Linked DNA regions of Saccharomyces cerevisiae S288C. The gene in region 3 interacts genetically with the main gene of each other region. Each region holds a gene or a part of one and is shown on either strand. Other genes may lie near its edges.

Region 1 (8,439 bases), on a different chromosome or scaffold from region 3:
CCTGCTTTGTAGCCATTACTATTGTACGTACTTTGTTTGCAATTTGCGAATGCGGTTTTAGTTAATATTTAAAGTCTTTTCTGCGATATGCGATGGTAGTCTTCTTTATCACGGCTCCTAAAGTGTGATAATCGGAAAGTTCCTTTCTGTTCTCTGCAATCGATTTCGGCTTTTTCTGAACACAAATAACCAAAATTTCCTTATTTTATTGGGGAGGCTATCCTAATTGTAAAGTGCAATATTGCTGTGGAAGGATATCGACTCAAGCGACCAGTGGAATAGGATGGCGAGTTGGCTAGTTTAGCTCTCTCCGACATTGTTGCTATTGAACAGATACGGTATGCCCGTGTATTTATCCTCCTACCAAATCGCGCAGCAAAATGGTTAAGCACGTGACTATTTTTCAACAATGAAAAAATTTTGAACAATAGATGATATGAGGAGGCATCGAGGGATTGCTAAGAAGAGGATATTCCTCATCATCCAAAGACTATCTTGTCGTAAGTTTCGTTGAATATGTCTACAAACAGTATTAAGTTGTTAGCTGGTAACTCACATCCTGGGCTTGCTGAGCTTATTTCCCAAAGGCTTGGTGTACCGTTATCTAAAGTGGGGGTATATCAGTATTCAAATAAAGAGACGTCTGTTACAATAGGGGAAAGCATTCGTGATGAAGACGTATATATCATCCAAACTGGTTACGGGGAACATGAAATCAACGATTTCTTAATGGAATTACTTATCTTAATTCACGCTTGTAAGACGGCATCAGTCAGAAGAATTACGGCAGTAATACCAAATTTCCCTTATGCTAGACAAGATAAGAAGGATAAATCGCGGGCGCCCATCACTGCGAAGCTGATTGCCAATCTTTTGGAAACTGCGGGTTGTGATCATGTTATTACTATGGATCTCCATGCTTCACAAATTCAAGGGTTTTTTCATATCCCGGTTGATAATTTATACGGTGAACCAAGTGTGTTGAATTACATAAGGACCAAAACAGATTTCAATAATGCGATACTGGTATCGCCTGATGCTGGTGGTGCGAAAAGGGTGGCTTCTTTAGCGGACAAGCTGGATATGAATTTTGCCTTGATTCATAAGGAGAGGCAAAAAGCTAATGAAGTTTCGCGAATGCTGCTTGTCGGTGATGTTGCTGGTAAGTCATGCTTGTTGATTGACGATATGGCTGACACGTGTGGTACGCTGGTGAAAGCCTGTGACACATTAATGGATCACGGTGCTAAGGAGGTTATCGCTATTGTCACACATGGTATATTTTCTGGCTCAGCTAGGGAGAAGTTAATAAATAGTAGGTTATCAAGAATTGTTTGCACCAACACGGTACCTGTTGATTTGGATTTGGACATTGTCGATCAGGTGGATATCAGCCCTACGATTGCAGAAGCTATCAGAAGATTGCATAATGGAGAATCAGTCTCATATTTATTTACACATGCGCCTGTTTAAAGAAGAGGTATAAACGAATATATTTGTATAAATGTACTAACAGATATTTTGAAAAAAAATGCGTATATCTATTCAGTATTAGCGCTTATGCTGCCACCAATATTCTTCATCTGGTCTCTATGAGATTTTCATTAAAGCTTAATCTTTTCTGATTTACCGCCCTTGCTTTTGGAAAATATGTGAAATTTTATTGTGCTCTAAAAAAAAAAAGTTATTACAGTAGGTGAAGTGAAATACAACTAAATTCGAAAGATCAGGAACAATAGAAAGAAACGTGGAAATTATTTAAAAAAGGAAGAAAAAATGGTACACTAATATTGATACTTTTAGAACAGATGGGTCTCAACTATATGATGTATCGAAACAATCCCGATTTATTTGATGAAGCTCAATATTCTCGATTTTCTTTTTTGCTTATTGCGTTTTTTATCATTTAATGGCGTCTTGGTTTCTGCAGTCTTAACTTCAGGTATATTCCCCAAGGTCTTTTTGCGTTCAATATTTGCAGCTGCCCTCAATTTACGATCCCTTAACCAATCATCGCATTTTATTAACTGTTCAATGTTATTGTCAGTCTGCATTTGATCTTGACTAGAAGTGTCTATATTTTCATTTTGATTTTCGGTCTTATCAGCCTGTGTTTCTTTATAGAATAAAACGTAGGCTGTAGTTTGATCACCTGGATGACCTGTGAATTGTAACACAGTTTCTTCTTTTATGGATTCCACCGTTTCGTCATCATACAAAAGCCACCCAAACTTTTCGTTCCTGCAAATGCATACGTAATGACCATGCTGTGGACCGCTCCCCATATGGATGACGACGCCGCTTAGTTCATATTTTTTATATACTGATGTATTAAAAGTGGAAGAAACATCCAAAGTTAGTGGATAGAGTATTTTGTTAAAAAGTTTGATGTTTGACTTTTGCTCCTCTGAATACTTGAATCTTTTTAGGTGCAATGACAGAATATGGGGCAGTTGCTTCAGTCCGACCATACGTTCTGCTTCTTGTAAACCATAACATTTGTTACAATAAAATTTGTTAACCCCGTTCAACATCTCACGCTGATGATAGCTTTTTAACATCTTCTGGATATCAGTCTCTTCATCACCCTGTACTTCTATTGGAAAGTCTAAAAATGGTTCGTCCCTTGAGGTGATATTGTCACAAGTTAAACATTTGATCCTATTCGTCAGTGTACCTTTGAATAAATCCGTTATAAAGTTGTCGTTGCTGTTGTCTGTCTTTTGTGGTCCGAATCTCATTCTGGGATTATTGCGTTGAATATATTCACTGAAATCATTTAATAAAAAGTTTAAAAATTCATGGGCATCTTGTTGCATCATAGTGTTGAACAAGACGTTTTCTTTTTTTAAAATTTTGACAAACTCTGTAGGTGAAACGATACCGGTTAGCGACAAGTTTTCAGTAATAGACTCAAATATATCTTTTAGTCCATTGTAAAGTGTAGCTTCCTCGGTTGGATAAAGTAAATGATCTACGTTAAGAACGGGGCCTCTAATTAAAGCGGCTTTTTTTCTTTGTTCACTTGTTGGAAACGTATTCTCTTTATTATTATTAGAATTGTTGACAGCATCGTTACAGCTCTCAGGGTTAACAAGGACATCATCATCCACTGATGTAATCCTACTGCCTTGTGAATCACACTGGCAATGCGAATTTGCTTGACAATCTGTAGTTGAAGCTTTTGATAAGGAATCGCTTTGCTTTAAAAGCGGTCTTCCCACAATAATTTTTTTACAGCCTTCGTGAAGCTTCTCTGTTAATGTATCAGAGGCCATTACAACTGTGTGAACAGGCTGAGGCCGTTCCATCTCATTGTTATCATCTTTCTTTGCAGAATCTTTATAGTTCGATTTATCTTTTCCAAAACCCATAAACGAGTTCCTTTTTCTTTCAAAATTATTCTGTTTTTCTTGAGTAGAAGAAGAGGAGTTATCTTGATCACTCTGCTGAAGGTGGTGGTGGTTATGTGCATCTTCATTATCATTGCTTTGGTACCCCGTATTAGAATTTCCGCTATTAGTAGATGTTTCAAAACTTTCATTAGTGAATACCCTTATTTTTGAACCCTTCAAATCACTTTTGCGTATTCTGTTTACTGCGGCTACTCTTTCAGGATATCGCAGCACATTACACCTAAATTCGGGGATATTATAAAGGCATTGTAGAACGGAGTTGCAGTAGCAAGTATTCCCAAAATTTTCATAACCAAACACTTTATTGGAACCATCCCCATATGGCATTAAATCTGTAATAGTAGTAAATAGTATGGAGGACTCTGTATCGAACGCACGATCTTCATATGTAGTCGAGGAATCGTACTCTCTTTCATCTGAAGTACTTGCCATATTATGGTAATGCTCATGGTAATGTTTATTTCCTGCAAGGTTATCCGTTTGACTACTAAACTTGCTTCTTCTTTCATGGCTCGCAAGATTAGAAGGTATGCTTGATGTACTACTCTTAGCACTTGGTGATTTCGCTATGGAGGGATCTCCAGAACCTTTCGTTTTCTTCAGGCTAGTTGCTTTCCGATTAATTTCGTCATTACCTTGAGTGTTCTTCTCCGGGTGTGACTTTTTCCTATTCACAGATAACCATCTTTTTATCATTTTTCATATGGAAGACTCGTTGCCTTTGGTAAATGTTTTAATTTTCTGTTTATTACTGATAATGCAAATACTTTTTTAAGGATCGAGCTAAGGTTTTCGACACATTCAAGCTTGTTCAAGCGAAAGGTTGAGTTCGCCCCTAGAAGTTTAATAAAATCGGAAGTTCCAAATACAGCTTCGATGGACCTTATTGAATGCAAGAGAAACGTTTTCTTGTGGGGGGGGCGTATATCGTTTGGAAAGGAACAGAAGTGCAACTTTTTCAACCCATAATAGAAATCGCGCATTGACATTAATAAACGCGATTTCCGGGGTAAAAACCGCATATAAAGTATATATGGCGTACAGGAGCCCAACTGCTTTTTCTTTTGCTGAAGGACAATTGAGATACGACAGCGTGATGCTTTGTTGGAAGGTGGCTCCTAACCCCATACATACACTGTATGATGTCAAAAAAGTACTCCGATACGGGGAGTCGAACCCCGGTCTCCACGGTGAAAGCGTGATGTGATAGCCGTTACACTATATCGGATTACAATACACGTATGTGTTGCATCTCAAAATGGAATACGTCAGTATGACAATACCCACCTAAAATATTCATAAAACACATATTGAGATGTTGGTGAATTTTAAAATAATTGTTGGGATTCATTGTTCGTAAACGCTATAATATTGCGTATACAGAATATACTAGAAGTCTCCTCGAGATATGGAATCCATAAAAGGAGAATCTGTTGGAACGAGAGTAATTAATAGTGACATGAGTTGCTATGGTAACAATCTAATGCTTACATCGTATATTAATGTACACCTCGTATACGTTTAAGTGTGATTGCGCCTATTGCAGAAGGAATGTTAAACGAGAAGCTCAGACAATACTGAAGCTGTGTTAAACACCTATTAGTTGAACATGTTATGGTAGGTACATATATGAGGAATATGAGTCGTCACATCAATGTATAGTAACTACCGGAATCACTATTATATTGGTCATGATTAATATGACCAATCGGCGTGTGTTTTATATACCTCTCTTATTTAGTATAAGAAGATCAGTAATTATTTCTTCATTAATACTATTTTTTTACCTCTAATTATCAACAGAATCGATAAATCTACATATTGTTGTTATTCTTTTTTCTTCCATTTTATATGTTCTCGTTTATTATTCTATCACGATCTGAGTCCCTGCATTTCGGCCTCCATTAAATTTGATGAGTGTTTCTCAATTTTTTATGTCATCTTCCCGCACCGTATATGATTGTATACCAGTATTATGAATATCAGTACACTAGTTGATAGATGATGGCTGATTCCTATTCCAAGAAAGTTTTACTTAAACTTTTATATTTCTACTATAGGTTCTTGTCTGAGTAACGGAAACCACCTGCTCTAACAAAATCTTAGTTTAGTTCAAGGTTACATTTGCTGCATAATCGTTGTGGTTCTGGAGTTTTATCCCGCAACGAAATTCTAATCTATGGTTGAAATTTAATTATGGAAAAACTCATTTATGATGCTAAGCAAACAGGTCTTAGTGTGAGGGGGCATTGATCTTGAAAAATAGTCAATCCTACCCGCAGAAATTACTCCACAAAGGTCTGAAAGGAGACGCTGTTGCGTATTTGATCAATGAGGTGTATACCTCTTATCTTAAGCGGTATATAATAGCTTTATATCCCGATACTTGAATTATGCTTATGTAGGAAGAAGTGACACTGATTGCTCATTTGTGCCATTATAATGTAAGCGTTTGTTTTACAAGTGTTAGTGAAGGTACAATGTATGTTATTATTTTTTTTCTTCATCGTTTCTTTTCAAAAGGATGAGATTTTGTTTTAAAATATTACAGATTTCCGCACCAAAAAGTAAATATTATGAAAAAGACACATTAATTTCAACGCTGGGAAAGTAAATAAGTATAACGTCGTATATGATAGAACTAAGAAAGGCCGTGACTTAACTGGTCCATAGCCAATGCCACGGCATTAACGATAGTAGTGCTCAAATACATCTAAAAATGCAGCATATAGGATCTGCGCTAAATAACAGAAGGAGTTTAGTCAGGTTTATTTATTCGATATACAGCAAAGTAACAAATAGTAACGAAAGGTGTGAGGATCAGTCTATTTTTGATCAAACAAACTTCTAAAGTTAATCGAACTTCCACAGTTTGTGAAAAAAAAAACAACAAAATAAAAGGAAAACGAAGTTTGTATTTATCTATTAAATCAACTTTTTGGCTGCCACAGCTTCATGGGAGGTTTTATGATATTTCTGTGCCGAAGGAGGATGTCCTCGCGAAACAAACCCTCCACTTCTGCGAGCGTCTTCTAGTATTCTTGCCGATTCAGTATGCCCTAAAGCCGCCGCCTTCTCATACAATGCCATAGCATAATCTGGATCCGAAATGATAAGATCTTTATATCCCGTCATATAAATATTGGCTAATTCAAAAGGAGCACCACAAACAAAGCTGCTAGCCATAGATGTAGCCCTTCGCAACCATCTATAACCATCCATTTTGGTTAGAATATCATCTGGAAGACCCATCAAACCATGATACGAATATACTCCTAATTTGTACATTGCTGCAGGATGGTTCTTAGTTGCAGCAAAAGTCAAAAAGTTAACCGCCTTCGGTGCATTTCTGGTTACACCCAAGCCGCACTCATAGCAAATGGCAGTTCTGTAAACACTTTCGATGTGCATTCTTTTGGCTGCAGCGGAGAATAAAAGAAATGCTCTTCTATTCTTTATTTTACCGAAAACTCCAGAGGAGTAGGCGTCACCTAGAAGGTACTGTGCATCAGGGTATCCAACGGCACTTAGTTTCTTCAAAATAACTTTGGCATCGTTCACTAAATATTCCTTTAAAGAATCTACAGAGAAGCTATTGCTTTCATCCTCCAGTTCCTTAACAAGTTCGTGTAGTTTTTCGGTATCCAACCCTACCCTTAAAATGTATTGTGCATACTGAAAATTAGAATATATGTCTTGAGTTTTCTTAACTACCTCCCCGTACATTTCAATGGTTTTCCATCTTGGTAGCAAGCTCTTCTTGTTTTTCTTGCCAAGGTGAAATTTGGCCACATTATGTGATTCTGATGCAGTCACCTCATTTGTGAGGCAAAGACTATTGTAAACGTTAAAATCTAGTGACACATGTCTAGGAAGTGAAATGGAACTTGTACTTCTATTGATATCGTTTGAAGAGCCTGATCCGCTTGGATTATTCAAAAAGTCCAAATCATTCGATTGACTAAAAGACAGAGCGACAGATTCATTCTGAGAGGGAGGGGGCTCAGCGAAGTCGTGAAACTCGGAATTACCGTCTGCCGATGTGCCATTTAAAATTTCGGATGAAATTTCAGAAGCAATTTCAATTTCACAAGAACCTTGTGATTTTTCCTTCAGTGAGGAAGAAGCATCGTCCTCAACGTCGTTCTCAAACTCGTCCTGCTCAGGAAGAATCTTTCTTGTGGGAAAAGAGTTATATTTTTCAATCAATGAGGGCGAAGCGTCGATATCCATCGCATCCTCACCAATAGAGGATGAAATTTTTTCTTTATCATTTGTAAACACATCACCTGAGCGTGAAATATGAGATGAAACGGATGACCAGTATTGACGAACTTCTGGTTTATTCAATATCAGAGAGGAATCAGAGGAGAATCCGCTTGATTCCAACTGTTTATCAACCTCATTATAAGCTCCAATTTCAGGGTATGCACCAGGAGTATTTGAGCAAATAGTCATGGACATTATGGGTACTGCCTGATTTTAACAAAGGGATACTCGTAATGTCAACCGTACTTCTCTTGCTGTTAGCAAAAGTATTGTTCTATTCTTTTTTCCAAGTACAATTTTTTATTCAATTTAAAAACGTCGAAACGAAGACAAGGAAATTCATTGCCATAAAGAAGTGTATGGTATTTTACGTTGGTTTTATAAGAGGATGGCGACATATCAGAAAATTTTTCTCTTCACTCCCCTAAAAGGATAAAGCCGCGCGGACCCTGCAGGAGGAAGTAGTCATCGGGAAGAAGAGTAGAAAAATACATATATTTCATGGGTGACAGACAATACGAAAGTTATTTAAAAGAACTGAAAAAAAAGGTTAAGACCGCAGTAGGGTTGCGAGGTATATGACAAAATATATGCAAAAATCTAAGACAGTGGATGGAAATGAAGATAAAAATGTACGGAACGCAACCTAAGAAAAAGAGGAGAATTGAAAGTAAACCTGTGTAAATAAATAGAGACAAGAGACCAAATACCTACTCGTCTTCTTCTCTGGGGTCACCAACACCATCTTCATAGA
Region 2 (8,279 bases), on a different chromosome or scaffold from region 3:
TTCGCCGCATGCAAATGTAGATGAGTTTGTACTGGGCGATATTAGTATTTCCATTGAAAAAGCGAATAGATTACACCATATTTTCGTGACTAGGTATCTGCCGTATTTTCCTATTATGTATTCCAATAACGCCACCGAATTATACTCCCAATCTCAGTTGCTTTTCTGGACCGTGATGTTGACGGCATGTCTGTCTGATCCTGAACCGACGATGTATTGCAAGCTAAGCTCTTTGATCAAGCAACTTGCCATAGAGACCTGCTGGATAAGAACACCTAGATCCACACATATTTCGCAAGCTTTGTTAATATTGTGCATTTGGCCTTTGCCTAACCAAAAAGTCCTAGATGATTGTTCTTACCGTTTTGTAGGATTAGCAAAGTCACTGTCTTATCAATTAGGTTTGCACAGAGGTGAATTCATTTCTGAATTCACAAGAACTCAAACATCAATGCCAAATGCAGAAAAGTGGAGAACTAGGACTTGGCTGGGAATATTTTTTGCCGAACTTTGTTGGGCGAGTATCCTTGGTTTGCCACCAACTTCACAGACAGACTATTTATTAGAAAAAGCCTTATCCTGTGGTGACGAAGAATCAGAAGAAGATAACAATGACAGTATTGACAATAACAACAATGATAAAAGGAACAAGAAAGACGAGCCGCACGTTGAAAGTAAATACAAACTACCGGGCAGTTTTAGAAGATTGCTCAGCCTGGCGAATTTCCAAGCAAAATTGTCTCATATCATTGGTTCTTCCACTTCCAGTCCTGATGGTTTATTGGAACCAAAGTATCGTGCTGAGACACTGTCCATCTTGGGAAAAGAGTTAGATTTATTAGCAAAAACTTTAAATTTCCAGAGTGACGATACTGTCAACATTTATTTTCTTTATGTTAAATTAACTGTCTGTTGTTTTGCATTCCTACCCGAAACACCTCCTACCGATCAAATTCCATATGTCACAGAGGCCTATCTAACAGCTACTAAAATTGTCACTCTATTGAATAATCTTTTAGAAACACACCAATTAATTGAACTGCCTATTTATATTAGACAAGCTGCTACATTTTCTGCACTGATTCTCTTTAAATTGCAGTTGACTCCTTTACTTCCTGACAAATATTTTGATTCAGCAAGGCAATCCGTGGTCACTATCCATAGACTTTATAGAAATCAGTTAACTGCGTGGGCCACTAGTGTTGAGAATGATATTTCGAGAACTGCAAGTATGTTAGAAAAACTGAACTTCGTACTGATCATGCATCCAGAAGTTTTTGTGGAAGAAGACGGTATTATTTCTAGGATGAGATCACATTTAACAGGGTCTCTATTCTATGATTTGGTTTGGTGTGTTCACGAGGCGAGAAGAAGGGAAATGGATCCCGAATATAACAAGCAAGCCTTAGAGAAAGCCGCTAAGAAAAGAAAATTTTCCTCAAATGGTATCTACAATGGCACTTCGTCTACGGGTGGCATAACGGACAGAAAACTATATCCATTGCCACTATATAACCATATCTCCAGAGATGACTTTGAAACTGTAACAAAAACAACACCAAGTGGAACCACTGTTACCACTTTAGTTCCTACTAAGAATGCCTTAAAGCAGGCAGAAAAGCTAGCCAAGACAAATAACGGAGATTCTGACGGTTCTATAATGGAGATTAACGGGATACCTCTTTCCATGCTCGGGGAAACAGGCAGCGTAAAATTTCAAAGTTTATTCGCTAATACCTCGAATAGTAACGATTATAATAATAATAGGACGTTATTGGATGCGTCTAATGACATATCAATTCCCTCTAATTCAATTTATCCAGTGGCTTCTGTCCCCGCTTCGAATAACAATCCACAAAGTACTAAGGTAGACTATTATAGTAACGGACCTAGTGTAATTCCTGATCTCTCCATGAAAAGATCAGTAAGCACTCCCGTTAATCATTTTCCTGCGTCCGTTCCAGGGTTAAGGAACCACCCCGTTGGCAACTTATCTAATAATGTTACATTGGGAATAGACCACCCTATTCCAAGGGAGCACAGTAATTTACAAAATGTCACCATGAATTATAATAATCAATTCAGCAACGCCAACGCGATTGGAAGATCACAAAGTAGTATGTCCCATTCACGTACACCGATTGCTTCGAAGTCAAATAATATGACAGATTTGCATTCCGTCGTTTCCGACCCCGGCTCCTCTAAAAGCACGGCATATCCACCTCTGAGCTTGTTTTCCAAAAGTAATGATATCAATAGCAACAAAACGAACCAACGATTTTCTACGGGCACTAACACTGTAACTTCTTCTAACTTCCAAACCATCGATAATGAAAACAACGTGAAGACTCCTGGAAACAAACTAACGGATTTTTTTCAGCAACAAAGTGCAGGCTGGATTGAAGGCAACTCCAGTAATGATGACTTTTTTGGTTGGTTCGATATGAACATGGAACAAGGTTTTTAACGCCTATATTCTTCTAATATTCTAAGAAATATTATTACCCTTGTTTTCTGCTAATTTATTAAAGAAAATTTGCAAAGACGGCTACATAGGACTTCGAGTCCTTTTATTTATACATATTCTTTTTCGGATTATTTCCAATGTAACAATATTCAAGAATGGATCAACTTAAGGATTATTTATCAGTTTGTTATCACGACCTCCCTCCTTTGTAAAATGATGACCACACCAAAGTAGAATATTTATTCACTACCTATTTATTTTATTCTTATTAATATTTTATATATCATGCATTTATCCGTGTGCATTTACCAAAATTCATGAGTAACGATAACGCTTCTTATAGGTATCTATCTATTCCCATTCCGGTAACTTTTTTTTTTTCTCCAACGCTCAGTCCTTGCTTCTTTATCCCTATTCGTTTGGAGACGGTCGTCAATTTTAGCGGAAGGCTGAAAAATACATCGATCCGAAAGTGTTGAACATAGAGATGAGGCAAGATAACTATAAAGATAAAGAACCCAAAGAACGTAATTGAACTATTGTGTGAAAGAAGGTCGACAACAGCAAAGGAATCAATAGAGTTTTTCTTTGGTTTTCAAATTGATTTTTTTTCACCTGTTCATTTTTTTTTTTTCCATTTGGATAATATTATTATTGCCTATACCAGATCTTACCCTTTGACTGTTCAACTCATCAAGCTTTATTTGTTGAAGGGGCCAAATTCGGCTTTAGTAAGGATCCAGTACTTTCATTAACATACTAAACCCACGCAAGAAGGGCGCAATCATGATCAGAAGATGGCTAACTATAAGTAAGTCTGGGAAGAAGAAAAAGGCTGTTAATGATACCATTACAGAAGAAGTAGAAAAGGTTGACTTTAAGCCTGTAAACCACGATATAAATGATGAACTCTGTTATAGCGAATCATCCGATAATCCCTCTAGCTCATTGTTTGTCTCTAATTTGGATACCAAGGAAACTTTTTTGAATGAAGACAATAATTTGCAGATTTCTTCCGGACTAGACTATTCTTCTGAAACGTGCAATCAAGGCAGTAATTACAGCCAGGATGGGATATTTTATATTTCAAACGCAAAGGCTATAAACGCATACGGAGGCATTATCACGCAAGGGCCCGAGGCACCCATATTAGCTATGAAGGTGTCCGACTCAATGCCCTATGGAGACGGCTCCAACAAAGTTTTTGGATACGAAAATTTTGGCAATACATGTTACTGTAACTCAGTTCTTCAATGTCTCTATAATCTGTCCTCATTACGTGAAAATATATTGCAATTTCCAAAAAAATCAAGAGAATCTGATCAACCAAGAAAGAAAGAAATGAGAGGTAAGAAACCAAGAATATTTACCGAAGCAAGTTTTGAGAAAAGCATTGCTGGTACCAATGGACATTTGCCTAACCCTAAACCTCAATCTGTTGATGATGGAAAGCCTACCCCTGTAAATTCTGTAAATTCAAATACAGCTGGGCCTTCAGAGAAGAAGAGTAAATTTTTTAAAAGTTTTAGCGCGAAACATGTACAAGACAATAATAAAAAGGAAGGAAGTCCTGCTATATTAACCACTGGAAAACCCTCTTCTCGTCCTCAAGACGCACCTCCATTGATAGTCGAAACACCTAATGAGCCTGGTGCTCCGAGCAGATTGAGTTTCGAGAACGTCACAGATAGACCTCCGGATGTTCCGCGTAAAATAATTGTTGGCAGAGTTCTCAATTATGAAAATCCTTCAAGAGGTAGCAGTAATAGTAATAACCTGGACTTGAAAGGAGAAAGTAATAGCAGCTTATCCACTCCACTTGATAAAAAAGATACTAGAAGATCTAGTTCCTCTTCTCAAATATCCCCAGAACATAGAAAGAAATCCGCACTTATTCGTGGGCCAGTGCTCAATATTGACCATAGCTTAAACGGCTCAGATAAGGCTACTTTGTATTCCAGTTTGAGAGATATCTTTGAATGCATAACTGAGAATACGTATTTAACTGGTGTTGTATCGCCTAGCTCTTTTGTTGATGTTCTCAAAAGAGAAAATGTATTATTTAATACTACTATGCATCAGGATGCTCACGAATTTTTCAATTTCTTATTAAACGAGTTGAGTGAATATATAGAACGTGAGAATAAAAAAATAGCAGCCAGTGATATCAACAGCGATAGCGAACCGAGTAAGAGTAAAAATTTCATCAGTGACTTGTTTCAAGGCACTTTAACGAATCAAATAAAATGTCTGACGTGCGATAACATTACATCTAGGGATGAGCCATTTTTGGATTTCCCCATAGAAGTTCAGGGAGATGAGGAAACAGATATACAGGAAATTTTGAAAAGTTATCACCAGCGAGAAATGCTAAATGGCTCAAACAAGTTTTATTGTGACGAATGTTGCGGTTTACAGGAGGCAGAGAGATTAGTTGGTTTGAAGCAATTGCCTGATACTTTAACATTACACTTGAAAAGATTCAAGTATTCTGAGAAACAAAACTGTAATATTAAGCTTTTTAATAACATTCACTATCCTCTGACGCTAAATGTTTGCTCTTCAATAAATTCTAAGGTTTGTCAAAAGTATGAATTGGCTGGGATTGTCGTTCATATGGGCGGTGGGCCACAACACGGCCATTATGTTTCCCTATGTAAACATGAAAAGTTTGGCTGGTTGTTATTTGATGACGAAACGGTAGAGGCAGTTAAAGAGGAAACAGTGTTAGAATTCACAGGTGAATCTCCAAATATGGCAACAGCATATGTTTTGTTTTATAAAGCGATGTATTCAAACGCTGTTGAAAAGAATGATCGTGAAAATATGGCAAAAGAACAAGATGATAATATAGACAATCTAATCAAGTACGATGATTGGCTAAGAACTTGCAATAGTGGTCAAAAGAAAAAGGAAGAGCTGCCTATAGCAGACGATTTGGATACTGCTATAGACGACAGCTTTGTTTCTAACACACCCATAAAGTCTTCTAAAAAAAAGTCGAGAATGTTTAGTTTTAGGAAAAGCTGAAAAATATTTGCATATCAAGGAAGGTAAAGGTTCACCGTCTCCTTTAAAACTATTTTTTCTCTGACAGTATTAATTTAATTCTTACATAAATATAATATCTTTAATCTTCTTTTTTTAAACCGGCTCCGGAACCTTTTTCTTAAATTTATAGTTTTGTCTCAGTAAAAGGTTTTCTTTTAAACTAATACAATTATGAAGTATTTAGGCATGCAAGCAATCAGGAATCTAAGAATAAAAAATTGTCCTATACTGGAGCATGGGTGAACAAATATGACACGGATTCACCATTGTGTAGTCTTCTTATAGCTTCAGCGAACGTGGGACTAATATCGATCTGGTCAGCAATAGGTAAATCCAAATCTACCGGAACGGTATTTGTGCAAACAATTCTAGACAATCTACTATTTCTTAGCTTTTCTCTTGCTGAACCGGAGAAAATACCGTGTGTAACAATAGCTATAACTTCTTTGGCACCATGCTCCATCAACGTATCACAAGCTTTTACCAACGTACCACAAGTATCCGCCATATCATCAACTAATAAACATGATTTATTGGTAACATCACCAACAAGCACCATTTTTGAAACCTCGTTAGCTTTTTGCCTCTCTTTGTGAATCAAAGCAAAATTTAAATCTAACTTGTCAGCCAAAGCAGCTACTCTCTTAGCACCACCTGCATCAGGCGACACCAAAATAGCATTGTCGAAATCTGTTTTCGTTCTAATATAATTTAAAACACTTGGTTCTGCATATAGGTTGTCAACCGGGATATGGAAAAACCCTTGAATTTGGGAGGCATGGAGATCCATTGTGATGACATGATCAGCACCAGCAGTTTGCAATAAATTGGCAACCAACTTTGCGGTAATGGGCGCCCGGGATTTATCTTTCTTGTCTTGTCTTGCATATGGAAAATTGGGTATTACAGTAGTGATCTTTCTTGCAGATGCAATTTTGCAAGCATGAATTAAAATTAATAATTCCATCAAGAAATCATTAATTTCTTGTTCACCTATTCCAGTTTGGATAATATACACATCTTCGTCGCGAAGGCTCTCACCTATGGTGACAGAGGTTTCTTTATTAGAATACTGGTACACACCAACTTTGGAAAGTGGAATACCTAACTTTTTCGATATTTGTTCAGCCAAATCAGGATGGGAGTTTCCCGCTAGCAATTTGATACTATTTATAGCCATATCTTCTCGAGACTCTGAATTCATTTTTGCTGGAGAAGCCTTGTGGAGTTGAAGCTGAGAGTCTATGTGCATTATGTAGTCTACCACATGCTCAAGGTCGATGACCATATAGGACCTTGAAATATTTTCGTCAGGATTTTTCAATGACCGAGAAGTAAAAAAAAAGCAGAGAATCGAGCAGCAAGGCTGATTTGCTAACAAATCCAATTGATATCATCGGCACGTGCTTAACTAAGGAGCGAGACTCATCTGCTTCAATTGTTACAATATTTGATTATATATTAAAATAAATGGTTATGTACGTACAGAGAACGCCAGGAGAAGGTGGGAGGGGGAAAATATTAAGCATTAAATTATGAAGTTCATTAAGTTTAAAAATAAAACATATTGTAAATGTAAGTGGGTATCTAGAATTTTTCGACGTTCATGATTAACTTTCCTTGGGCACGTTGAGTGGCCATATAAGAAAATGCTTCTTTATGGTCTTTCCAGTCATAAACTTTGTCGACGACACATTTTACAGTACCGTTCTTCAAAAAGTCGCCACATTGCTCAATCCAATCATTATTGGCGGAAGCCGTCTTTGCATTCGGATCAAAATAGTAATGTGTGTAGTTATATGACCAGATAATAGACCCGAACATTTTTCTTGCATTGGCACTTGGGTTATCCCATGAATCGAAAATGTCTTCTTTATAATTGGCAACGTAATCACCTACAGTGGTTACGTACGCACCACCGCCGTGAATCAATGAACTAGAATGACTCAAAATATCGTAACCACCGACAAAATCGAGTACAACATCGAACTTCCCCTCATTATAGTTAAGTATAGTTTCCTTATCCTCGACCGGATCATACTGAGAAATTTTCTTTTCTTCGAGCATTTTTCTTAGTGGTTTACTAGATTTACCCCTACACGTTAAGTAATCGATGAAAATCATTTCATCAGCCAGATCAGGAAATTTCTCCTGTAAAACTTGGGGCCCATTTGCAGACGTTACAATCACTAGTTTTTTCTGTAACTTGTAATGACGCTTCAATAATTGTATGACAAACATCCCCACTGACGAAGTTCCACCATTAATCAAAACGTTTGAATCTTGCTTCAAATACTTGTTCTTGGATAATTTATTCAGAATATTATAGCCGGTGGCCAGGCAGAATAAGGAGCCTGCAGCTTCTTCGGCGCTAACCGATTCTGGTCTCAAAAGGATTGGGTCCACCTTTGGATCTACTAAGATTGAACTTTGCAAACATCCCACGGCCAAATGAGGGTGGTAGTATATACCGTATACTTCATCACCCACGTGCCAGGCGTAGTTTAGGTTCTCGCCTACCTCAGTGATAACACCACTGTACTCTCTCCCCAAGCCGATCTCACCGTAAATCGACGATGTGTAGCCGTTCCTGATTTTCATATCTACAGGGTTCAAACCCACATTACTTACTCGAACTACAATTTTGTTCTTAGGAATAGGCGTCTTGATCTTCTTTTCATAAGAAAAATCCATGGGCCCTGTTTTAGTATGGAATATCAGCGATTTAATTGGAATGAACTTTACATGTCTTAAAGGTCTA
Region 3 (9,192 bases):
TATGCGCCTGGTAATTGATGCCTTGAAACAGCTGTAACATTTCTTTACTGGCGTTTAAGTATTGACTTGAAAAAAGAATGAATAGCTGAGGAATATCATGGCGAGAACCTTTGTATAGGCGTTCGTTATCAATCAATAAGGATGTAGTCATCATGCTCAAAATCACTTTAGAATATAGCGCCCTAAAATGACAATTCAAAACACGAGAGCATGCAATCTCAAAACTTAAAGCCGGATTTTCTTGGGATTTTTGAGCGTAAAGTACCGATAAATACTGTTTATAACTTTTTAGTTTCATACTTACGTGCAAGTTGTCTCTCCAATTGTTCAAAGAATCATTGAGATCTTTGATTTTATCAAGCATGGCATCGAATGAAAGATCTAGAGTACTTCTGACAGCAAAACAAGTAGAGTATATTTTACTCTCAATACTAACCAATTTTGAAACATAATATGATATGAAAAGGGATATGTGCTGACAAAAATTTACAACTACATTCAATGCAGAGTTGACATCAGTAATTTTATCGAGATCTTCCTTTTTATCAATAAGATCAGGTAGAATATTAGTTTTTATCACTTCATAATAATTTTGATCTGTTAGCATATCCATATCGCGTTCCCCCACAATAGGGGGTCTGGATAACATTAAAGAATATAGTTTATCTGTACAAAAACAATGCCACCACATTCTTCTTCTCCTTATGGCTTCTTCAAAGTCTAGTGACTTGTAAGAGGATTTTCTATTTAATTCCATGTCAACCGCCAATCTAATCGCGGTTCCTAAAATACAATTTGCTAGTTCAGTATCGTAGGTAAGTTGAAAATATCGGTTCAGTAGTAATAAAGCTTGTAGTGTTCTTGTACCTGAACAGATGGTGGACAGCTTATGATAATAATACATGGCATTTAGTAAGGCAACGTTTTCGATTTTTTTTAACTCTTGGGAGGTTGGATCATATCTATCTTTCCTTAGAAACTTTGAATCACCTCTTATAATTGATTGAGTGGCAGATGCACCCGAGCAGAGACACACGTTTAATAATAAATGTTCAGGATATGTGAGTTTTTCGCCGCTTTCGCTGTAGTACTTTTCTGCTAAGTCTAGACATTCTTTTAACGATATTATACCAGTTACAGAGGATAATAAGGTAGCATGAAAATTCTCAAGAAGTCTCTTTGCTTGCTTTTTCGGAGGTAATGAGTATAATATTATTTCGCTGGAGAAGAAAGCCGGAGATGACAAATCCATAAATTTTTTCATTTGAGTTGCATACCATTTTAAAGATATGCTTAATATTTCGCTGATTGGAGAAAGAAACTCCTCATTGGACGCTTTCACTCCTAAACTTTGTTTGAACCAATAGAGTTTTTGAGCAGTTAAAAGTGCCGTAGAGTATATTTTTCTCGCTGGTTTGGGCAAATTGTTCTTTTCCTTGTATTTGCCTTCCTGCTTTTTAACAGCCTTGTCCAATAACCACTCAAGTCTAGCCACACTGTCAATAATGTAAGACATTTTTCTATCCAATTTTTCAATCTTTGAATTCATTTTTTTGTTAAGATTATTTTGAATATTGGAGACTTTATCGATGATATTGCTTTCTAAGGGGGAATTACCGTTTAAAAGTTCAAACCTTCCACTGTTCGGTACTGAAGAAGACGCTACAGGATTGCTAATACTATTTGAGGTTTGAAGTGATTCCCCTGGTGTTGCATGATGTTTGATTTCTAATTTTCTTTTCTTCTTAAGAATCTCATCACGATGTTTGAAAGTGCAAGGCAACTGAAACTTAATACAGTTTGAACATTTTTTGGTCTGCTGGTCCACTTCATCACATCTGATTTTTCTTTTTCGGCAATGGTCACAGGCCTTTGATACACGTTTCTTGAGATTTTTACCAGAGCCGCTCATATCATTACTGTTAGTGTGTTCCATCATCGTGCTGATGTCACGGTTCTGTTGTGTCTGAAATTGCGACTGATGCTCTGTTGGCGAGTATATTGTATTGGGATAAGCCACATTCATGGGGATATTTGGACCTATTGTACTACCTGTCATAAGGGTGTTTTCTCTGTTAGGCATCGTCATCAGTTGATCTGGCACAGGCATCGACCATATTTGAGTTTCAGGAACCAGACGTGGGGTACCAGTTTGATGGTTTACATTTGAAATGTCACTTCTACCGGTGATTTCATTGTTAAAAACCGCATTCATATTGCTTGCTGAGTTTGAAAACCCATTTGGGCTGTAATCTCCACCTTGATTTTCCATTATTTCAAACCGAAGATTTGGAGTGGAGAGTGCTGATTTCCTAAGTTGAATTAAAGTACGATAATAAGCTCCCTAAGACATTTATTCTTTTTTCGAATTAAAGGCTTTTTATATAAAGCCATCTTTCATGTACGTAATTGGAGATTATACCAAAACCAAACAGGGTAAGAGATGTTTCTCTAATGAATAAAATAACAGTGTTACCTTAGCACAAGCCAATATTCAAAACACATGTGGTAGACCTTCTGTAATATTTATGTATATCTCCATAATCTTTCACCTACACAATCTCACTTATATTGCGGCTAACGTACATTGTTAAATATATATGTATCTGTGTATTTGTTGTACCTCAGGGTGAGGGTCCCGCTTCCGTCTGTAGTCGGTATTCGTAAAGTAAAAGACAGAGCGAAGCTTATGTTCAAAGCTCGTCATGACTACTGGTATCTTCTAACTGGTCTTCTATGTGTGATAATAGGCTCAATTGTAGACGAATGATTTTCAGTTTTTCTTTAACTTCTTTACTCAAGTCATCTCCATTTTGCTTAATTAAAGCTTCTAGTCTTCGCCTTTCCTTTTCCAGCCCATTCACGTCACCGTATAATTTAGATAAAGTATCAGAGTAGTATTCTTTACCAGCTTTACACAGAAGCTGTTGAGAACGTAATTCTTCATTGCAATTCCTAGAATCATCGAAAATATGTTCTATGAATCTTTCTTCTGTATCTTTACTTCTTACAGTATCGATAAAGTTGCTTAAACTCTTTAGGTTCCTACTCCCTTCAAAACGAACAACCCTAGACGTATCCAGTTGGTACTTAGGATTGTTGAACCACGTCTTGATTCTTTGCCATAGTCTTTCATGAAATTTCATAGACGACCAATCGAGCTTCGGAAGAACTAAGGGCTTAGTACGAGGTTTGACCAGTTCAATTATTGGAAATCCAGGCAAGTCGGTACATAAAGTTGGCCCGAAGAATTCACAGTTAACTTCAAGGAAGTTAATTGGGGTATCATCTTTATTAGCTTTTTTGGCGTATAGCTCACCAAGCTCTTCGTATACTGGGGCCAGAGTTTTACAATGTTGGCACCAAGAAGTGTAGTATTTTATCATTGTGTAAGAATCATTCCTATTGCAGATATCGAAGTACTGCTCAATCGACTTGACCATCGTGACAGCTTCACTGTAGGCCAACGCTGGTAAAATGACGACGCATGTTGATAATACGGAAAATAAAAAGCCGTGCAATTTCATCTCCTTTGTGTTTTACTTTGCCGACGTACTTGCACTAGACTCGCTGTGTTTTTTTTCTGTTGTTTTGTTGTTATGCTGTTCTTTAGCTCAAAAAATTGGCCACTGTTCCCCGCTCTGTAAATTAATTGCTCTTAAAGAAACAAAAATGATTAAAAAAAATTAGAAATATTTGAGATAATAAGAACATCATTCAGGTCGCCCATATTCACAATTATTTACAGACTGTATTTTAATGAAGAATGTGTGCATAACTTGATGGTACCTATTCAATATAAAATTTGATAAATAAATAATATTATAAAAATGTCTATGTAATTATTATAAAGCTCTAGAGTATGTATGAGTTGTTACACATAGCATTCCAATGAGTACTTGCTTTTTTCTTCGTTCTTTAGACATTTCAGAAGAATATTCTTTATCTTGTCATTGTTACTGCAACTACTATTATAGTATTATTAGTATTATTGTTGGTATTGTTACTATATATTTACGCTTAAAAACTCCAAATTCAGACCCCAAAATATAATTTAAATAAACATTATCATTTCCCCTCATTCCCGTTGACCTCATGAACTAGCGGTGAATTATGTACTTTTCTTCTGTATTCTAGAACTATGTCACCCTGAGATTTCCAGTAAAGTGTTCTAACGGTATTTAAAGTCATATCGTTATCAAGCACTTGGCCCCTACATAGTAGATCCAACCAAAGACTAGGTTCCATTTTTGCTTTCATTTCAGGAGTTTTCGTTTCAAATCTGTCAGCGACGTAAAGTTTAATTTTTTTCACCCTAATCATTCCAGGCGCAACCAGCTTGACATTCGCCTCAGAGATTCTCGGTAAATCTGTGGGGTTTAACTCCTGCTCGCTGGTCTTCGGACGGCCAAACTTTAGCATATTATGGAACTGTTGCTGTGTTGATGGGGAAACGGCTTCATTACCATTTCCAAGGCTGCTATCGCTACTATCGTTGCCAGAAGATTCTGTGGTATCTGATGCACTAATAAACTTCTTCTTGTTTTCATTGCCAGCTGCCTCACTCCCACCAACAGAAGACCATGGCATGATTAAGAAGTTCAACTTTGGTTGCTCTTCCACCGTCTTAATATCTCTAAATAAAGCTTTTGCAAACCAGTAGGGCAAATTTTCCTCCAATTGCTCAAAAATTTGCCTTCTGTTGAGTCTGCTTCCTAACTCGCCATCAATAAGATCATATTTTCCTAATTTGTCATCATCTACAGCTTGAAGGTCTACTTCTTCATCATCTGGCGGTTTGGAATTTTCTTTGCCGCCGCTGACGGTTTCATTATCGACATGAGATGGCGGTAATAGGGTGGAAAATAATACCCTGCCACCACATGAGCCTTCCTTCCAAAGATGGACCAAAACTAACGTGGCAGATTTTACTCTAATAATTGGACATGAACTAGCCTTGATTATCTTGGTGACTGGAAGCCTCTTCGTCAGGTATTTTAGAGAAGAAGTATTCATATATTGTTGCTTGTAAGACTCTTGAATTTGCTCCAGTAAATCGGGCATGAACTCAGGCTTCTTCTTTTCGTTGCCTTCCAAGGTTGACGTGGAATTCGCCCTTGAGTTTTCAGATGATCTTAGTTTGTTATGAGTGTTGTTACTCGGTAAATCTTGTGATGAAATAGCGGATAGTTTTTGCTCTAGCTTGAAAGGATGATTCCATAACATAGATTCTGGAGTTGCATCCTTAGACTGCTGAGTTGTATTGATAGCTTGAGGGAAGGCCGAGTCATCATTAATAACGTGCGGAGTATCTGGCAGAATTCCTTTGGGCTCCTCTGGAGTGTTTAACCCTGTTGTGGCACGACCAGAAGTAGACCTAAATGATTTGAACTTTCTACTTAACAAGGAGCCAGAGCTCTGCGTTCTAAAATATGGCTTTTTGGATGCAGGCAATGGTTGCACGAGTTCTAAAGAGTCATCTATTGCTTTATCAGAAGCTGACTGCAACAATGGTTGTTCTTCTAATACTATAGTCTCTGCCATTACCGGGGTTGCAGGTGCCGAATTTGGTGGAGTTCCACTGCTGTTGGTATTTCCAATGGACAGAGTTGAACTAATTTTGAAGGTTGATTTTCTCTTTTTATCTTTATTATTCTTTTTTGATTCACTGTTATATCCCGTATCCAAGGTTAATGAATTGGTTAAGTCTTTTTTCTTCAAACTAAAAATTTTCTTCCTTAAAAGTTTATCCTTTTGGACTTCATATGATATGAACTCATTGAAAAGCGAATTAATAACAATTTTACCCAAATTATATCTCTCATCTGAGTTAATTTCAATATTGTTCACAACCTGATAATCCTTTAGCGCGGATCCATAAACTTCAGTTTTCAGAAATTTTGGGTTTATTTTTACGAACAGCATACCGACCTTAACGGAAACAGTACACCAATGAGATAGAATTTCCTTTGAGGTGTATTTCATTACAATATCATCAAATGAACCTTCTGATGAATCAAAAGTATTCAAAAGCTCACATGAAACGATATCCCATCTCTGCATTTGGCCTTTAGTGTTTTCCGTTATTACATGCCTCCTGTTGGTTAGCAGTGAGCTTCTGGTCAGTGCGAACCCACCTTCGTTGACACTGAAATGGTTATTAGTTAAATCGAGCACGTTTAGATTTGAGTCAGTACAAAAAGAAAACAACAATTTTTCATTAGGTAAAAGGGCAATATCAAGGATACCACCATATTTTTTTACTTTCGCATCTGTAGTTGATATATTTTGCTCTTCGTGTTCATGGTGATGATGATGATGGTGGTGATGATCAGGCTTGAAAATTCTTGTAAGTTTAGCATCTTCATAACTGGATAAGTTTGCTCTCATAACATTGCCCTGAGAGTCACCAAAATACAACTTATCAAGGCTCGTTCCTTGGACACACCATATGGAAGAATCCCAGGACCAAGATCCAATTTTTTTGGGAAGCTGAAGGGCACCAGTAGTCTGATCATGCCTACAATTCAAGTCCCATACATTTATTACACCATCTGAGCTGGTACTGATTAGTCGTGTGGAGTCATCAAGAGTTCTTACTACTTTTATATTTGTTCTGTGGGCGTTTTGAATTCTTATCACCTCCTTACGATATTTACACGAATAAAAAATCAAATCACCATTACAGTCTCCGGCAACAAAATCAAAGGGACGAGACGTTTGATTGTCATCAAAACTGTATTTTGGGATGATGGGACTCATGGAGTATATTGAGCCTGTGTCGTTTGATTGTGCATTATCAAATGTGTGTAGTAGCGTAGCCATTTTTTCTGGCCCGCTGCTCAGGCACCAAAGTTTGATTTTTCTATCTAGACCACCTGTCACAAAAAGAAAGTTGTTCTGTTCATCAACAACAATGCCATTATTTATTCCATCGTGTACATTATCAGGACCACCCTCTTGTTCTTCCAATTCATAGTCATTTGACATTTCATAATGTATGGGCACTATGCACTTGATATAATCGTCGTGGTCACCGATTATTTTCTTATCCCAGGTAGTTAACTGCGCATTCACACTAATTAATACTATCGAAAAATCGTGACTTACTGATATGAATGTGTCCCCTGCAGATGGGTCTGAATTTTTCATATTAACATGTATTAGATCGCTTGCCCAATCGCTATGAACTTGCATTCTTATCGCATCGTTTTTTATGGTAGTTGCAGCAGTCTCAGGCTCGTTCGAGAGCTGTGTGTTCTTGTGCAAAATTATGGAACCATCCCTTCCTGAAGTAAGAAAATAGTTTTTACCAGGTATATCCGGGTACAGAATCTTTGTTATCGGTAAGATGTGCGCATCTTGGGAAGTGCAGTAATCTGGGGAAATTAGGCCATAACTCACTGTCAACTGATTCATTATTACCTTTCTATTTTCTCCGGCTTTTTATTGGCTTGCTCTTCTAAAGTCAGAAAAGCGTAGATTTGCTAGAATGTATCGTTTCCTCGTTAGGAATGGCTTGAACTAATTCCTGTATCTATGCAATTGCAATCCAACTACACTTATACGACGTCAAAAGGAAGGGGCGGAGCGTTCTAATTGTAGTTGCAAAAAGCGATGTAGTCGTTCTTCAAGTAGTAATTAATACCAGGATAGGACACGGTGTTATGGTGCTGGTAGTTACTTGTTATAATGTTATTATTGGGCAAAAAGAGAGTTCACTGTTTAACAATAGCAATGGGGTTTTTTTCAGTATACATTTGAACTGCAATGGAATTTGGGCGGAGGGAGCAGTAAAGGGGCGATCAGAGTTGAAAAAAAAATGCTGCCGTAAAAAAAGCATGCACGTATACACTTGAGTAAATATATTTATGTATTCATATCTCAAGATAAGATCATGATACATAAAAGCGATATAACGTCTTGAAGCTCAGGTAAGGGGCTAGTAGATGCAATGAATGACGATGAAGATAGAGCCCAACTGAAGGCTAGGCTGTGGATCCGTGTGGAAGAACGATTACAACAGGTGTTGTCCTCTGAGGACATAAAATACACACCGAGATTCATCAACTCATTGCTGGAGTTAGCATATCTACAATTGGGTGAAATGGGGAGCGATTTGCAGGCATTTGCTCGGCATGCCGGTAGAGGTGTGGTCAATAAGAGCGACCTCATGCTATACCTGAGAAAGCAACCTGACCTACAGGAAAGAGTTACTCAAGAATAAGAATTTTCGTTTTAAAACCTAAGAGTCACTTTAAAATTTGTATACACTTATTTTTTTTATAACTTATTTAATAATAAAAATCATAAATCATAAGAAATTCGCTTATTTAGAAGTGTCAACAACGTATCTACCAACGATTTGACCCTTTTCCATCTTTTCGTAAATTTCTGGCAAGGTAGACAAGCCGACAACCTTGATTGGAGACTTGACCAAACCTCTGGCGAAGAAGTCCAAAGCTTCTCTGGTGTCAGCTCTGTTACCGACGTAAGAACCAACAATAGAGATGGACTTGACGACTTGGTTGAAGACATCAGAACAACACTTGGCACCAGCTGGCATACCGACCAAAACGGTGGTACCGTTAGCTCTAACGTATCTGGTAGAAGCTTCAATAGCGGCTTCGGAAACGGAAACGTTGATGACACCGTGAGCACCACCGTCAGTGGCCTTTAGAACAGCACCGACAATGTCCTTTTCCTTAGTGAAGTCAATGAAGACTTCACCACCGATGGATCTGAATAATTCTTCCTTACCTTCACCACCGTCAATACCCAAGACTCTGTAACCCATAGCCTTGGCGTATTGAACAGCCAAAGAACCTAGACCACCAGCAGCACCGGAGATAGCAACCCAGTGACCGGCCATCAAGTTAGCAGACTTCAAAGCCTTGTAGACGGTGATACCAGCACACAAGATGGGGGCGACTTGGGCCAAGTCGGTACCTTGAGGAATGTGAGCGGCTTGAACAGCGTCAGCGGTAGCGTATTGTTGGAAAGAACCGTCGTGGGTGTAACCAGACAAGTCAGCGTGAGGACAGTTGGATTCGTTACCCAATTCACAGTATTCACAGGCCATACAAGAACCGTTCAACCATTTGATACCGGCGTAGTCACCGATCTTCCAGCCCTTAACGTTTTCACCCATGCCGACAACGACACCGGCACCTTCGTGACCACCGACTAATG

What was found.
Region 1: of DUF1 (region 3) and UBP9, changing one enhances a phenotype caused by changing the other (phenotypic enhancement), as found in Saccharomyces cerevisiae (one study listed by BioGRID).
Region 2: of DUF1 (region 3) and UBP13, changing one enhances a phenotype caused by changing the other (phenotypic enhancement), as found in Saccharomyces cerevisiae (one study listed by BioGRID).

Annotation. Positions count from the first base shown.
Region 1 is NC_001137.3:351,139-359,577, reverse strand, and holds UBP9 (putative ubiquitin-specific protease UBP9), read right to left. Parts: upstream 4,113-8,439; coding exon 1,848-4,112; downstream 1-1,847. Other genes in the region: E2 ubiquitin-conjugating protein UBC6, read right to left, coding at 1-16; ribose phosphate diphosphokinase subunit PRS2, read left to right, coding at 517-1,473; SHC1 (Shc1p), read right to left, coding at 6,342-7,880; recombinase RAD51, read right to left, coding at 8,396-8,439.
Region 2 is NC_001134.8:90,857-99,135, reverse strand, and holds UBP13 (ubiquitin-specific protease UBP13), read left to right. Parts: upstream 1-3,253; coding exon 3,254-5,497; downstream 5,498-8,279. Other genes in the region: SEF1 (Sef1p), read left to right, coding at 1-2,467; ribose phosphate diphosphokinase subunit PRS4, read right to left, coding at 5,742-6,722; AST1 (Ast1p), read right to left, coding at 7,106-8,279.
Region 3 is NC_001147.6:151,219-160,410, forward strand, and holds DUF1 (Duf1p), read right to left. Parts: upstream 7,420-9,192; coding exon 4,069-7,419; downstream 1-4,068. Other genes in the region: HAL9 (Hal9p), read right to left, coding at 1-2,272; protein disulfide isomerase MPD2, read right to left, coding at 2,694-3,527; MHF1 (Mhf1p), read left to right, coding at 7,955-8,227; alcohol dehydrogenase ADH1, read right to left, coding at 8,330-9,192. UniProt on the Saccharomyces cerevisiae protein: Ubiquitin-binding protein involved in the resistance to phenanthroline, sanguinarine, nordihydroguaiaretic acid (NDGA), isopropyl (N-3-chloro-phenyl)-carbamate (IPCPC) and guanosine 5'-O-(2-thiodiphosphate).